Tribolium castaneum: one gene and its partners. The protein of the gene in region 1 binds, or shares a complex with, the protein of each later gene. Links are inferred from orthologs where the notes say so. Each region holds a gene or a part of one and is shown on either strand. Other genes may lie near its edges.

Region 1 (5,730 bases):
TGATCCGTAGCTTTCTGTATTTACTGCTTTTCTTGGTTTCTCTTTACTATTTGAAAAAACTGATTAGAAGAGCTAAGAGAACAGCCGTTTCAAACCTTTAAACAACGTCAAAATGGCATTTGTACATTTATAAAAAGGAATAGATCACAAAAAAGACTTTTTAAAAATTTTTTAAAAAATCTGTGTAATTACAAGTAACAAATTTTGAACGATGAAAACCCATCATTAATTAAAAGAAAAAGATAATCACAAAAAGTATTAGTTCATGTTACACAAAATCAGAGAAACGACAAAATGCAAAATGTGACACATGTTTGTCAGTTTTGAATTATGTATCAGACTTTAACGATTTTCGATATTAAAATTTAAAATTCAGAAAAATAGATTAGGTCTTTATTTTCATAATAAAACATTTATTTTTAAGAAAAGTTAGATGAAATCTTCAGTACTTATTTTAATTGTTTTTTCAGAATAGCGCCAGTTATTTTAAGTATTTTAAGAAACAATAAGTAACATAATGGATTTTAATGATAGAAAATTGTACAGAAATTCCAAAAAAATTCACATGAACCGAGAAAAGTATGAAGTGTTTTAATATCAAGCCCTGATTGCCTGATTTCTGTGTGATTACTAGTTTTTGAGCTACAGTATAACCATATGCATTATCCGATTTTTTTTAATTATCATTGTCAAAATCAGGTACAAAAGTAGTTCATACCGCCTGAAAATGAAAAATTGAGAAACTAAATAAAAATAAAAATTGAAACATTAGGTTTTCCTTTCTATTTTTATTAAACTAAAACGAAAAAACACCATATTTGGTCAAAATTGACCAAAAAATTACTTTTTCTACGCGTTTATTTAGCAAAAACTCAATTATTGTGCAAAATTTCTTAAAAAGTAAGCCAATAAATCAGAGAATTATGTCAAAAATTACATTATTTTTGCAAGTTTCGAGGATTTACACTCGTTTTAGACTAAACATTAGGTTTTTCTTTCTATTTTTATTAAACTAAAACAAAAAAATCACCAACTTTGGTCAAAATTGACAAAAAAATTTTTTTCCCAAGCCTTTGTTCAATTATGTGCAAAATTTCTGATAAAGTAAGCCAGTAAATCACAGAATTATGTCACAAATTACATTATTTTTGCAAGTTTCGAGAATTTAAACACGTTTTGGACCAAACATTAGATTTTCCTTTCTATTTTTATTAAACTAAAACGAAAAAATCACCAACTTTGATCGAAAATGACCAAAAATTTACCTTTTCTAAGCGTCTATTTAGCAAAAACTCAATTATTGTGCAAAATTTCTTAAAAAGTAAGCCAATAAATCACAGAATTATGTCAAAAAGTACATTAATTTTGCAAGTTTCGAAGAGTTAAACACGTTTTAGACCAAACATTAGGTTTTCCTTTCTATTTTTATTAAACTAAAACGAGGAAATCACCAATTTGGTTAAAATTGACCAAAAATTTACTTTTTCTAAGCCTTTATTCAGCAAAAATTCAATTATTGTGCAAAATTTCTTAAAAAGTAAGCCAATAAATCACAGAATTATGTCAAAAATTACATTATTTTTACAAGTTTCGAGGATTTAAACACGTTTTGGACCAAACATTAGGTTTTCCTTTCTATTTTTATTAAAGTAAAACGAAAAAATCATCAACTTTGGTCGAAACTGACCAAAAATTTACCTTTTCTAAGCGTTTATTTTGCAAAAAACTCAATTATTGTGCAAAAATTTCTTAAAAAGCCAATAAATAAATCACAGAATTATGTCAAAAATTACATTATTCTTGCAAGTTTAGAGGATTTAAACAAGTTTTAGACCAAACATTAAGTTTTCCTTTCTATTTTTATTAAACTAAAACGAGGAAATCACCAACTTTGGTCAAAATTTACCAAAAATTTACTTTTTCTAAGCCTTTATTCAGCAAAAATTCAATTATTGTGCAAAATTTATTAAAAATTAAAAAGTAAGTCAATAAATCACACAATTATGGCAAAAAATACAAGTTTCGAGGATTTAAACACGTTTTTAAACCAAACATTAGGTCTTCCTTTCTATTTTTATTAAACTAAAATGAAAAAATCACCAACTTTGGTCAAAATTGACCAAAAATATACATTTATTTTCTAAGCGTTTATATAGCAAAAACTCAATTATGTGCAAAATTTCTTAAAAAGTAAGTCAATAAATCACACAATTATGTCAAAAATTACAAGTTTCGAGGATTTAAACACGTTTTTAGATCAAACATTAGGATTTCTTTTTTATTTTTATTAAACTAAAACGAAAAAGAAGACAAAGTCAAAGAAGACATTTTTTGCAAGTTCTAGGATAAAAACCCAAAAAAAATCAAAATTTGATCGAAAATGACCAAAAATTTACATTTTCTAAGCGTTTATTCAACTAAAACTTAAATGGCAGTTGTTTTGTTTATTTTAAAAAGTAAACACACTAGCACAGATAACGTACCATTTCTTTCATAATCCAAACCAAAAAACGTTCAAAATTTTAAACAGTCGTTAAACGAGATTTCTATAATCCTAAAACAATTCCCGTAATTCTCAAAAAAATAAATCGATCAAAATTGAAAAAAAAACATAGTTGAATAGAGTATGAAAGCAGCTGCGTCACTCGACCCCTGTGGCAATTGAAATTTCTTGAAGGGGTGGCTCTGAGCACTAGAGGGGTGCAAATAACTTTAAAGAAAGAACTCTAAAAAATAAAACTTGGTCCCCCTTTAATACAAAATTGACCTGTTTCAGCATTTTTCCAAACTTAGACGATATCAGGGATCTTAGAGAATGCAAATTTTAGTTATTTTCACATTTTTCTCCCCCCCACTATCACCTCTTCAAATTTTTACACAATTTTTAAAGCCACCCCTGTATTTCTGTAGTTGCGAAAAGTCCGCTAGAGGACACCAACTTCGCTAACTTTCTACAGTGAACAAATCATTCAGAAACCTCTTATAGGTTTTTAGATTTAGAAAAAACTGTAGAACACTCATGGAATAAGCCAAAACAATGAAAAATACCTGTAAGCTTCGGCGAGGAGTGGATTTTGTTTGATTGCCAAAGTGCTGAAATGTGCGGATTTGTCTAAACGCCTGCACTGGAAATGTATGCTTGACAAAAGCAGTAAAACCCCCGTATTGGTCTGATCCTGTCTCCACAACTGCATACAGTGCCTCTCTGCATTTTCATAATCCCCAGCTTGGTACTCACGATGGGCAAGTTCAAGAAGCCCTAACACACAAAATACGTAAACAATTGCCAATTTCACCATCACAAAGACTCACCAACGGACGAAAGCTGCGGAACATCATTCATCTTTAAGACAATGGGACTACCGGTGATGGGCAACCCGCTGTTTGTTCCAGAACTGAGATGGTTCTGACCATCGACCACAATCTGGTCCTGCATGGTAAAGCACGCCGTTACACCAACATAAACCCTATCTGACCTATTTCTGCACACTTTCACCACAGTTTTTCACCAAAAAACGCTCTAAATTACAACAATCGATTCTCTGATGGCCTCAAATGGCCGCCACTGAAGAGAGACAACTGAAGAACTGTGGTCAAAGCGCAGCTGCGACCTGATTGGTCTTTGAGCTGCTGGAGCTGGCGTGTGATTGGTGGAAGCGAGTGGAAATTTCCATTCCATGGTCCGTTATTTACCTGGATTTGGTCGTCAATGGGTGCGAAGGGGCCCACGACGATTTTTTGCGATTCAATGGGATTTACCAGATGGGACCATTTGCACTATTCCCGGGCTGTGACGAGCTTCGGAGCACAAAAAAACCACAAGGCGTCTTATCAATTTCACGCCCGATGAGGTGCGATCGGTAGGCCTTGAATGGCACGAAAACGCCCGAATGCGGGGAAATCACTAAATGGCGCAAATTTTGATTTTGCAAATGCGAATTTCAAATTGCGACAATAAGTGACACATTAAATATTACTTCAAATATTTGTCAATAAAATCAAACTCCAATGTGGGAAAATTTAATTACTAGCAAAATTCAGGCAAGGGAAAGCACAGGGTTACCCAAATACAAAATCTAACAAACCGAAAATAATAATAACAATTTTTTTAATAATTAGATTAAGAGATTGCGGAATTGTGTATTTTTTGCCGTAATTGTTAGCAATTGTTAACAATTCAAAAAGCCATTAATGACTGTTTAATTTTTTTGTGTTTTTTTTTTTAGAAAATCACCACGTTGTGGTAAAGACAACATTTTTTTACTGTTTTTGCGTTATACATATTAGTACTTAAAAATACAGGGTAATTCAAAAGTGACAGACCATCTCTCATATGGTGTTAAAAGACAAAAATTAAGTCAGATTTTTTTTTCAAACAATTTTGATATATTTTTTGTTCTTTTGTTTCCTATGACGTCGAATTTAATTTATTGTCAAATTTGCAAGTTTTTTATTTCTTTTGTACATCATGAAACATTAATTGTTGATTTTTTCAATATGTATTTGTTTAATGTTCCAAGAGCTGTCGTTTCTGCTAACTAAAGCTAAAAACATACGATCTAAAGCAGCAAAAACTTAACTTAAAAATTTAACTTAGAAGAGCTATATCTCGTGAAAAAGGGCTCTAACAATTTTTTGTCATAGAATTTTTTTTAATTCAGTTTGTTTTTAATCTAAATTTCTTTGAAAGTATTTCCGACTTTTTTGAATTACTCTGTAGTATATTAGACAATCAAAATTGCTGAACATTAATAAATAATGATAATGACTGAAAAATTACGTTATTTTTTTTCTTTTCAAGCCAAAAACTCCCTAATTACTTTAAAAAACCATTTTTGCGACATGATATCGAAATTTTGTCACAAAATTGAGTAATTTAGGTCAAAGTTGAAATTATTTTTTTGTTCTTTGCGTTATATTATTACGTTTTTTTTATCTAGAAACGTAATTATTTCACACAACTTTAGATAAAACAATCTAAAAGATTGCCAAACTAAGCCACAACTGCGTGTTTTTTTTTACTTTTTTTAAGGATTTTTTTTTGACGAACACTCTAATGTTACTTCTTGTTGGATATTCTTGGCGTGAAAATTAACCAAACCAAAGTTTAAGTTTGGTTTGTCAAGTTTTTAAACTTAGTTTTAGTTAACCCTAATTTTGTCAAAAATCTTCCAAAAAATGAAGAAATTGATTCAAAAAATAATTTTTTGAGGATCCAAGCTTTTGAAGATTACATTATTTTCCAGTTTTTGTGTTATTTTAGCACATTTATAATCAAAAAATTTAGGTATTTTACGAAATTTTTCAAAAAATAAGCTTAAGAACATCACTTTTAAATTGAGCCAAAAAATGCGGTGTTTTTGTTTATTTTCCAGCGTCTTTTGCGAGAAACGGAACAGTTTAAAAAAATTCCGGTAAAAATTAACCAAAAAAATTAGGGTTTAAGCTCGTTGTTTGGATAAAAACGCAGTTTTATTTTGTTTATTTTGTTATTTTTGTATTATATCGAGTGGTAAACCGCACCCCAAATTTTGAACACCAGATTTTCTCTGATTCCTTTTGATTTCCTCAAGATTTCCTTTAATTTTTTAAACAATTTCGCGTGATTTCTTCTATAACTATTAGCAAAATTTGATTAAATGTAAGTCGAAAAATTACCAAAACAACTAAAAAATCTATTTTTAAGAAATTATGCGCTGATGATGCTTTTTTATTAGATGAAAACGCAAT
Region 2 (4,393 bases), on another chromosome or scaffold:
TATGTTTCTGTTATTAACCGACAACAAACTTACGTAACAAGTATTAAAAAATTTAAACCAAAGAGACTTAAATAAATTCAATGTCTGACGCTATTATCTGTGTCAAATCGTGACTTTGGATTCAATACCAGTTCTAATACACGTGGAAAGCTATTCAATCGGTTTTTTATTGTTCCTTTTCTATTAGAAAAACACAACAATAGCTTCCAATCAATGAAAGAACGAGGAAAACAGATAAACGAACGTAATTTATTAACGTGTGATTAAAGATAAGGGTGTTTTGATGAAATATCGATTCGTGTTAGCAAAGTAACGGTGTTATTATTGTGAGAAAAACACAAGTGGAGGGCTTCGTTATGAACTGTGCCACATGCAAGGAGAATTAACCACAAAAAATGCCTGGCTTACAAAAACGTTCCGGAAAAAACCTCAATAAACAATATTATCTCTGGATCGGTTCATTGACTTTATTACTGTGTAAAATATAACATTACAACTATCCACCACGGATTGCGAACGAGTTTATTATTAACGTTCTAAATTTAATAGGTGGACAAGAATGTCTGGATTGTGCGGTTCCGGGACATCAAACCAGACCTTGAGAACGTAAGGGGCCAACCGAGGCCGCCACCAAAAACAATGCTAATGCTAATACGAATAATTTCGTCGTAATAAGGCCATAATTGGGGCTATTTTCCAATCAAATCGCGCCTTTTTCTGGAGGTGAAATCAAGCGAGCTTACCTGACTTGGACACGATTTATGGCATCGTAAACGAAGAGAATTTATTGGGTTTGCTAAAATTTAACGAAATTTAGTAAACATAACGGTATTTTTACTGCAATTTCTAGTGAAACGTCACAAATGTCACAATAACACAATCACAACAAAAAAAGTGGGTCGGGTTTGGGGAAAACAGGCTGGACACACGAAATTCAATGTCACTGGTGATATAATTTGCTGGAACTAGACCAAGTTATGGTAATCCCCTTATTAATATTACATCGTTAAAAGTGAAAAAATACAGTTACACTCTCGAATTGTATGTTTGGAGTAAATACGAAGTGTTATTTAATTTATGCCGTCCGGTCACGTGGTATCTACACCAGAAGTGTTGCCAACAGTGGTTATTGCCATTTTTTAGGTTATGTATTTGTCAAAAATATATGAAGCCTCTAAAGCCAACCGAGACAATTTACAAGAGCCAAGGGACATGGACCGACGCATTGACAGTGTGCAAAAACGCCGGAATTGGATATTCCACCAACCAGATCTACCGCGAGGACGGCAACCCCCAGGAGGACCACCCGTATGAAGACTGCAGCTGCCACTACGAGTTCAACAACGGCACCTGCTGGTACGCGGTCTTCGACGGGCACGAGGGCCAGAAAGCCCCGCATTTCTCGTCGCAGCTGACCGCCGAAATCTACTTCTCTCAACTGACCGAGAAGAAGACTGACGATGAAGTGAGGGAGATCCTGAGACAGGCGTTCATTTCGGTCGAAACGGGGTATATGCAGTCGATTGGCGACCTGCTGGCTGACAGATTAAGGCTGCAGGATGACTTACCCGAAGGCTCGAACTCGTACGAGGCCTATCAGAAGGCGCCCCATGTCGTTGAGAGTATTAAACGGATCAATTGTGAGCTGTCGTCAGGGGCCGCCGCTGCCGTCGCTTTGATTCACAACAATAAGTTATATGTGGCTAATGTCGGAAATTGTCGCGTATTGTTATGCAAAACTGATGCAAATTCGGTGTTGAAAGTCGTCCAGTTGAGTGTCGACCACGATTTGAAGAACGAGGACGAGTTGCTGAGGCTGGCGCAGATTGGGATCAATCGGGAGTATTTGAGGAATTGTAAGTTGGAATTCTAGCCATAAAGCAATAAAATAGTTATTACACCACAAGTTTAAAAAAGCGTTAAATAGGGTTCTTATTTTTCTAAAATAAATTTTTCGTCGCGACTACGGAGGACTGTAGATTAGGAGACGAAATGAGATACAAAGTAGGATTTTCTCTAGTCCGGCGAAGTAAAAATGAGGGCGCTTCGAGCGTTAAACCGTCTCGGTGCAAATCGTTTTAAATTAATTTAAATTCAATCAATTCACTCATTGGAAAGAAAAAATGCAGAAATGTTGAGCTTTGCATTCTTAATAGGCAGAAAAAATGACTAAAATTTTCACGGGAACCAAGAGACAAAAATTTATGTTAATAATACTAACAGAGTATTTTACACACCTTAAAATATTTTATTCTTCGACACTGTCAAAATTTACGGTTTTTCTCCTGTGTAAGGAAGTTTTGACAACTGTTTGGCATTTCTCAGTACGAAACGTCAGATTATTTTTAACAAATTTAAAGCAGTTTTAAGCCTTGCTGAGTCTATTTCGAAGAATAAAATGTTGTATTCAACTCGTTTTTGTGTAAATCGGTTCATTTATTTCGCCTCGTGGATGATAAACCACTCGTTTTCACTCGTGGTTTAAAAATCCACTCGTGAGATAAAGCGTCCGATTTACACTCAAACTCATTAAATAAATAACTATACTTAGATTTCGGTTGGTATTACATAGACAAAATATTACTAAAATCATTCTGAATATAATCCTCAAACGGATAAAAGTTTTGGAAAACTGAAATAGTGCTTAAGGTTTTTGTGGAGGAAAATTTCTTTTTAGAAAGACATAAAATTTAATTGTATAATAGTTAGTTTCATGTCGGGCTTTTGTTTGCCTTAGATTATTTAAGGAAAAATAATTTCCTCTTGTACAATAATTTATTATGATTAGAACCTAGAAGAGAATATTCACTGCTGTGCTTGGAAAAATATTTCGAGACCTTTAAGGATACACTAAACTGTCTTTATTGCCTATTTTGTTTCACAGTTCTTCTTGAAATTATTTGATATTATACATTACGTATATTTACACTTCTGTTTCCCTTCCCAATTTTTTTTCTTGCACCCGTCACTTCTTTCATACATTTTTTCCTCTTGACTCCACACACTCTGACAAACAATGTTTATTTAAAAATATATAAACTAGAAAGTGTGAGAATTGGTAATATTTTTTTATATAGCTTTCAATAAAATGTTTGCCCTGACTTTGAGTGGTATGATTAAAAAAGTATTTGATTTTACTTCAAGTAAATAATTCACGTCGTAGTTTTACTTCAAATAAATATTACCTAACGTAGCATTTACTTCACAGTATACTTGAAGTAAGTAGTATAAGTAAATACTTCAGACTCCTTTATGTACTTTGGTATATAGAGGACAATACTATGGAAACTAGGTAAACAATAGAATATCGTACTTTAATAATTTCTGTTAAGTTACGAGTAAGCTCCATGATCTTCTTTTTAGAATTAGTTCTTTTAAAACACTTAATTATTTCTTTACTTTCAAAATAAAAGTTTTAACTACTATTACGTATTATTATGAAATATTTAATACTTATTCCAGTATTAGTACTTTAACAAACTCTGTAAAATAAGATACTTATTAACTTATGTATTCTTCTATTCTACAAAGTTTTAGAAATAAACCTTTATCCATTTGCTTGTAAATGGAATTTTCCAAAATTGTCGTTACTTAATAGAACAAAATTAATAGAACATTTGAATCAAATTAAAGTTAATTAATTAACAAAATCTCTATGACGGAAATCTTGTCATAAGGTTATTTAATAACGTATTCATCAGTTGCCACATTATTGGCAAGTTGGAGTCATTTTTCTTAAATATAGTTACAACAATGGGACTAACTAGAGTTAGAAGTAGGACAGCATTTTGAAGACATTAATTTGTTTTGGTTGTGAAAATTTAGGAAGATAAAAAAAATAATATTACTAATCAAATTACTGACCCATTTCCATTTTCTAAACTACCATATCGCCTACAAGGAGGCAATGTATGTAAATTTTGGAACCTAATGAATTACTTCAATTTAAACCACAACAAAAAAGCTCTTTTGTCGCAAAATACTCGCGATCTAGCTGTCTCTCTATTCGTAATTTATACCTTTTTTTATGTAATTTTTCTCCTTTTTGTTATCTGTTTAACTTGATATGTTTATACTTATATTTATAATTTTTAATTATACTATAATATCCTATTAGTATCCATTTTTGACGTGTTTAATTTCTGTGTATTCAGATAAGAGAACGAATAAATTATTAAATTATTATTATAATATAAACTAAAATTATTTTGAAAATATTTCGGTGTCAGGCATTTTTCCTGGAATAGCTGTCTTACTATTGAGAATTTAGTGCTCTATCTGTCTGTATTTTTTCTGTTAGCCTTGTGCTAACCGTTAAATAAAAAACCCAGACATCTTTCACAGTCAACGTTACTTCAGAAGTAATAGAATTACTTTTAATTTTAGTATGCAA
Region 3 (4,715 bases), on another chromosome or scaffold:
CGTACACAAAATTAATTCAAATGGCTTTATTGCGAATACAAAACGTGTAACAAAAAATAATACTTGGAACTTAAAACTAATTATCAGTAACTGGGGGCTCCGGGGCGGGTTTATCCTGCGAACTGTCTTCTTCCATCTTATCTTCGATTCTAATATCATTGGTATCTTCTTCAGGTATATCAATTTCTAGTTTTCCTTCGGGACTAGGTTCGTCGTCTACGTCGATTTGTACATCTTCATCCGGTTTTTCGTTCTCCGTGTCTTCGTTTTTAATACTAGCGTCCATGCTGGACTCTTCAAATAAAACAGACGGCAAGGTCTTCATTTCTTCCAAGTTGGGGCCGTAGTCTATAAATTCTGTCTTCACGTTGTCGGACTCTGACACCGCTTCCATCAACATGTTTTCGGGAGATTCAAAGGAATCCTCAAAGTCGGATTCAGAATTTTTCTAAATAAAAAAAAAAATATTAAAAATTATAATCTGCCGAAATTGGCTATTTTTGGTTTCTAGCCAGTTTTTTTGGCATAAAGTACCCACTATTTTAATGAATTTCAAGTCCTAAATTCTTTCAAAGATTTTTTAATTTTTTTCTGATTCTGTTTTAAATATTTCTGAAATAACTTGTGTCATTAATTCAGTATATTTTATATTTTTTTGTCATAAACATGCCTTTGTTACCATTTTGTTATGTTCTTTGTTTTTTTCCCATCAAGTTTAATCAGTGTTGCTTGTTTTATTTTTTAATTCTCCTTTTTTCATTTATTCAATTTTCATAAAAATAAGTATTTCGTCATAAATGTGTTATGCATCAAATTAATAACACTCCATTGAAAGTTTAAGTAAGAGAAGTATTTTTATTTCTTATTAGTTATTATGTATTTCACATTAGCACCGCCTGTATAATTTTAACGAATACCTAATACTATTTTAATGATATGCCAGCCATCTATTATTAAAAAATAAATCTTTATTAATCAAACAAATTTACTAAATAGTTCATAACTTAAAAGAATAAGAAACCAAACACCGGTTTTTTCCTTCATAAAATTAACCACGTGATTAAGAAACATTTAATCTTCAGAAATAGCAAACATGGGACGAATTCTGCTATGAAGCATTTTTTTCAATAGAAAATATTTATCAATTTTGTAATTTTTAACTAAAATTACATTTTCAGTGGTGGTGATAAAAAATAAATAATTTTAGCTCCTTTTAAGCTGTTTAGAAACAATTAGTCATAAATAGTGGCAAAATAGTTACGTATTTTTTTGTTTTTAATAACACCGTACCCTTAATTGCGCATATGATTTAATTGGAGGTATGTCCATATGCAAGTTGCAGCAACTGTCCTCAAAAATCGCCTCAACTGGTGTTTTACATTCTACATCCGCTCTCTTCTTACCGCACGGCCTGAATAATACTTGATTTTGATCCTACAATTTCAACACTTAAATGAAACATTACAGTAATAAAATAAATTACTTCTAAAATATGTTTCCTGCAATGTCTAGCCAGAGGCAGAGTTCTCTCCCCACACTTGACCCCACCTTCTGTAAACAAACACCGCGAGTAACCTGGCGCTTTGGAGAACATGCCATCTGTAATCTAATTTTATTTTTAATAAAAAAAAAATGTAAATAATTCGAATATGAACCTTAGCGCGTGAATCATGCTCTCTTTTATGAAGTATCGCTTCAACTCCGTGCGGTTTGTGGTACTTATTTAGCGCTTTGAGTTTTTTGTAAAGCCGCTGTTCTTTGGGATTTTCACGGATCTGGTTATAAATATTGCCTAAAAAACGAAACGAATTCAAATGAACTGGACGTAATTATTGTGATGTAATCTCACAGCAAGTTTCCTTTTCCCTCCTTAAATTATAAACATATTTTCTTTTGCATTCCTTAAAGACATGCTGCAAATGACGATATTGCTCAATGTATAACGACTGAAGCTTGATTAACTTTTCTCTCGTAATTGAACTGATTTCTTCAGCTGTGTACACATTCGCGTGCCTTCAAATACAAAAATTAGTCTCAAAAATAAAAAATTGCCACCTCACTTTAAAACGTCCTCCTGGTCTGAATCAACACTTTCGTTATCGGAACTGTCATTCTGTGCATCATGCCACACTGACGCGAACGTTGAAGCCTCAACATCGCTATCAGACTCACTACAGAAGTCCAAAACGTTGTTACAAGTGGAGTTATACAAGGCATTGGCGTCAATATCACCTAACACATTAATTTGTATTTGGAAAATTAATTTGAAAAAAAGGGTGGCTTACGGAACGGGTCCAAGCACTTGGTGCTCTTGGCTTCAGCCTCCTCCAGAAGGGCCCTCTCTGCCTCCTCTCCACTACCAGAAGTTGCCCGATTTCTGGGCTTCTTCAAGTAATGTCCCAACGAATATATCAGGACTTCTGCGGTTTGTGGCGGCTGAAGCCTCGAGTTCTGCCTGTTTTTCTCAAGTGTGACTTTAACTGCGTGATCGTTACAGTAGCCGCAGTCTTTCTTTTCGATTTTGGGGGCTGCCAGCTGGCAGCGTTTCCCGTTACTGGCGTAAATGTACGAGCACTGTCTGTAGGGGGCTGCCTTGTCTTGGAGGATGTGTTTGAGGCAGTAATTGAACCCGTCGAGGGTGAGTTGGGTGCATTCGTACGGTTTGTATGTGCATTGCTTTTTGTTCTTGAGCTCGATTTCTAGCTCGGCTTTGAGGGCGGCGACGTCTTTTTCTGCAGTCGTTGAAGGGGCATGGTTGGTTTTGAGTTGTTTTTCCGGAAACTGCATCCTGAAAATAGTGAAAGTTTAGTTTTGCGCGTCTGGCTTTGTTATTGACAAGGTTATGTTTGTTTGGCGGTATATTTCGAACGGTGGCAGCCAATGAGCAGCCGAGCGGAAATCGACAGCCGACATCTTTACTCAAAGCCATGCTTGTTGTGCGTTTGTGGATCTAAGGGCCTTAGTGGATTTCTGTGATAATTTCAGGGATTAGTTTAGGGATAATTTGCGTTTTTTCGGGAGTGTTGCGGTTTTCGAGTGTGTGGGTGGTTTTGGTGTTTGTTTTGTGGAAGTCGTGGGCTTGCTTACCGCGGTTGGTCGGCCATCTCTGAGTGAAATAACATCAAATTCCAACAACTTTGTGTATGTATATTTTAATTTGTTAAAGAACTACCTCTTTCGCGCGAAAAACTTTCCAAAAGCGTTTAGTAAACTTTAAGTAATAATTCGTGATCAATTCGAGACTTGCAACCGGAGATTTGCCCGTGAAAAGCCGACCCGATTTGCACCAGTGCCACTTCTAGGAAAACCCACATCGTAGTGACGCAACGGAAACCCTTGAAGCCGATTTTCTGGACAAAAGTGTAGTTAATGTGACTAAATTTCGCGACAATGCGCCCCCATTTGCCCCAATAAGACCAGCAAATGACCTGGAATAGCCTGATTTCGAGCCGTAGCGACACTTGCCTTGCTGTTATCGCGAGTCGTGTCGAGTGCAGTAAATGGCTAATAACAGCGATAGATGGTACTTCACGAAAGAGCAATTGGACGCTACGCCCTCGAGGAAATGCGGATATGATAGCTACAAGGAGCTGTCCTACAGGCAGCAGACTGCCAATTTCATCCAGGACATGGGACAGAGGCTCAAAGTGTATCCTTGCCGCATGCTTGCATTTAACACGTAGATAGCGCGAATTTCAGCCCCCTGGCGCCCCACGACCCTTGTTTTAGGTCATTGTGGAGCTATTGCGCCATGTTTCGTAAGTGACGTAGATAGCCCCCTCTACTGCGCATATTTGACGTTTCATGCAAATGCGATAAAGCGGCGTTCACACGACACGTGTGTTAAACGCACCGTTATTTTTATGCTTTTCAGGATTATTTCAACGTATTCTTTTCCAGAAAATTTATTATTTAACTCTTCTCTACGTTTGTTGTAGGTCAGCGGTTTTATTCATTTTTTTATTTTCTCTTTGAAGCAATTTTTCAATTTTTGTAGTAGTTTTGTCATTCTTATGCAACAATTTCATTTGCGATTTGTATGATGTAAAATAATTGTAATCTTTCACAAGAGTAAAAAATAAAATCAATTTCTTATTAAAAGATGTTTATATTTCTTGCAACTTTATTTTCAATTGATTTGATCTTGAAACTTTTCCTTTTTGTTTCAACTTGTTTTGAGTATGGTTGTGTTAAGTTTTTTTTATTATGTTCATACAAACGCACTATCTTATGCTCTTATGGATTTTTAATAATAAATTGATTTTTATTTACTTTTTAAAAATTTTAGAGCATTTCATGTCAGTGGACGTTTGAACGTTTTTTTCTATTTCTAAGTCAGAAATTTAACTTAAAATAAAATCAACATCAGTGTTTTTTATTACACAATCGCACAAATTCTTTCATATTACCACATAAACCTTACACTATGATTAATCAAAATAAAACCGACCACTGCTGACATTGCCTGAATGTCTACTGAAACGAACTGGGTCGACGAGTAATGTGGCTACAAATTTAAATTACATTTGTGCTATTGATAAGCACTACATGATTATAAAGTAAATATTTATTTACTTCGAATTTTTATGATGCACTAAACTTAATGGTGTACGTAATAATAGCCGCGGTTATTTTAAGAATTAGCTACGTGCTCGGACATATTTAAAAACGAGCCTAAGGTCGTGAAAATTTATAAAGAAAAATAATTTTTGGGG

Evidence for each region. Proteins that work in one complex are often made in the same cells at the same time.
Region 2: the proteins of sxc (region 1) and TGF-beta-activated kinase 1 and MAP3K7-binding protein 1 are in contact, whole or in part, in a crystal structure (PDB 4AY6), measured with the Homo sapiens proteins. The link is inferred for Tribolium castaneum from reciprocal best matches to the Homo sapiens genes OGT and TAB1. Residues at the interface, in NP_858058.1 of Homo sapiens: Asp441, His506, His508, His509, Asn567, His568, Pro569, Gly641, Tyr642, Thr643, Lys644, Ala646, Gln849, Phe878, Pro904, Val905, Ala906, Pro907; in NP_006107.1 of Homo sapiens: Pro389, Val390, Val392, Pro393, Tyr394, Ser396, Ala397, Gln398, Ser399.
Region 3: sxc (region 1) and dgt1 share a complex: the UniProt entries of both Homo sapiens proteins name them as parts of the NSL complex. The link is inferred for Tribolium castaneum from reciprocal best matches to the Homo sapiens genes OGT and KANSL2.

What each region holds. Positions count from the first base shown.
Region 1 is NC_087394.1:6,431,642-6,437,371, forward strand, and holds the start of sxc (UDP-N-acetylglucosamine--peptide N-acetylglucosaminyltransferase 110 kDa subunit), read right to left. Parts: upstream 3,583-5,730; 5' UTR 3,437-3,582; coding exon 3,313-3,436; intron 3,260-3,312; coding exon 3,049-3,259; intron 1-3,048. UniProt on the Homo sapiens protein: Catalyzes the transfer of a single N-acetylglucosamine from UDP-GlcNAc to a serine or threonine residue in cytoplasmic and nuclear proteins resulting in their modification with a beta-linked N-acetylglucosamine (O-GlcNAc).
Region 2 is NC_087395.1:17,238,600-17,242,992, reverse strand, and holds the start of TGF-beta-activated kinase 1 and MAP3K7-binding protein 1, read left to right. Parts: upstream 1-1,165; coding exon 1,166-1,856; intron 1,857-4,393. UniProt on the Homo sapiens protein: Key adapter protein that plays an essential role in JNK and NF-kappa-B activation and proinflammatory cytokines production in response to stimulation with TLRs and cytokines.
Region 3 is NC_087396.1:19,996,703-20,001,417, reverse strand, and holds dgt1 (KAT8 regulatory NSL complex subunit 2), read right to left. Parts: upstream 3,229-4,715; 5' UTR 3,123-3,228; coding exon 3,088-3,122; intron 2,789-3,087; coding exon 2,286-2,788; intron 2,233-2,285; coding exon 2,061-2,232; intron 2,014-2,060; coding exon 1,850-2,013; intron 1,793-1,849; coding exon 1,656-1,792; intron 1,607-1,655; coding exon 1,484-1,606; intron 1,435-1,483; coding exon 1,291-1,434; intron 449-1,290; coding exon 77-448; 3' UTR 12-76; downstream 1-11. Other genes in the region: CycT (cyclin-T), read left to right, coding at 3,501-3,649. UniProt on the Homo sapiens protein: Non-catalytic component of the NSL histone acetyltransferase complex, a multiprotein complex that mediates histone H4 acetylation at 'Lys-5'- and 'Lys-8' (H4K5ac and H4K8ac) at transcription start sites and promotes transcription initiation.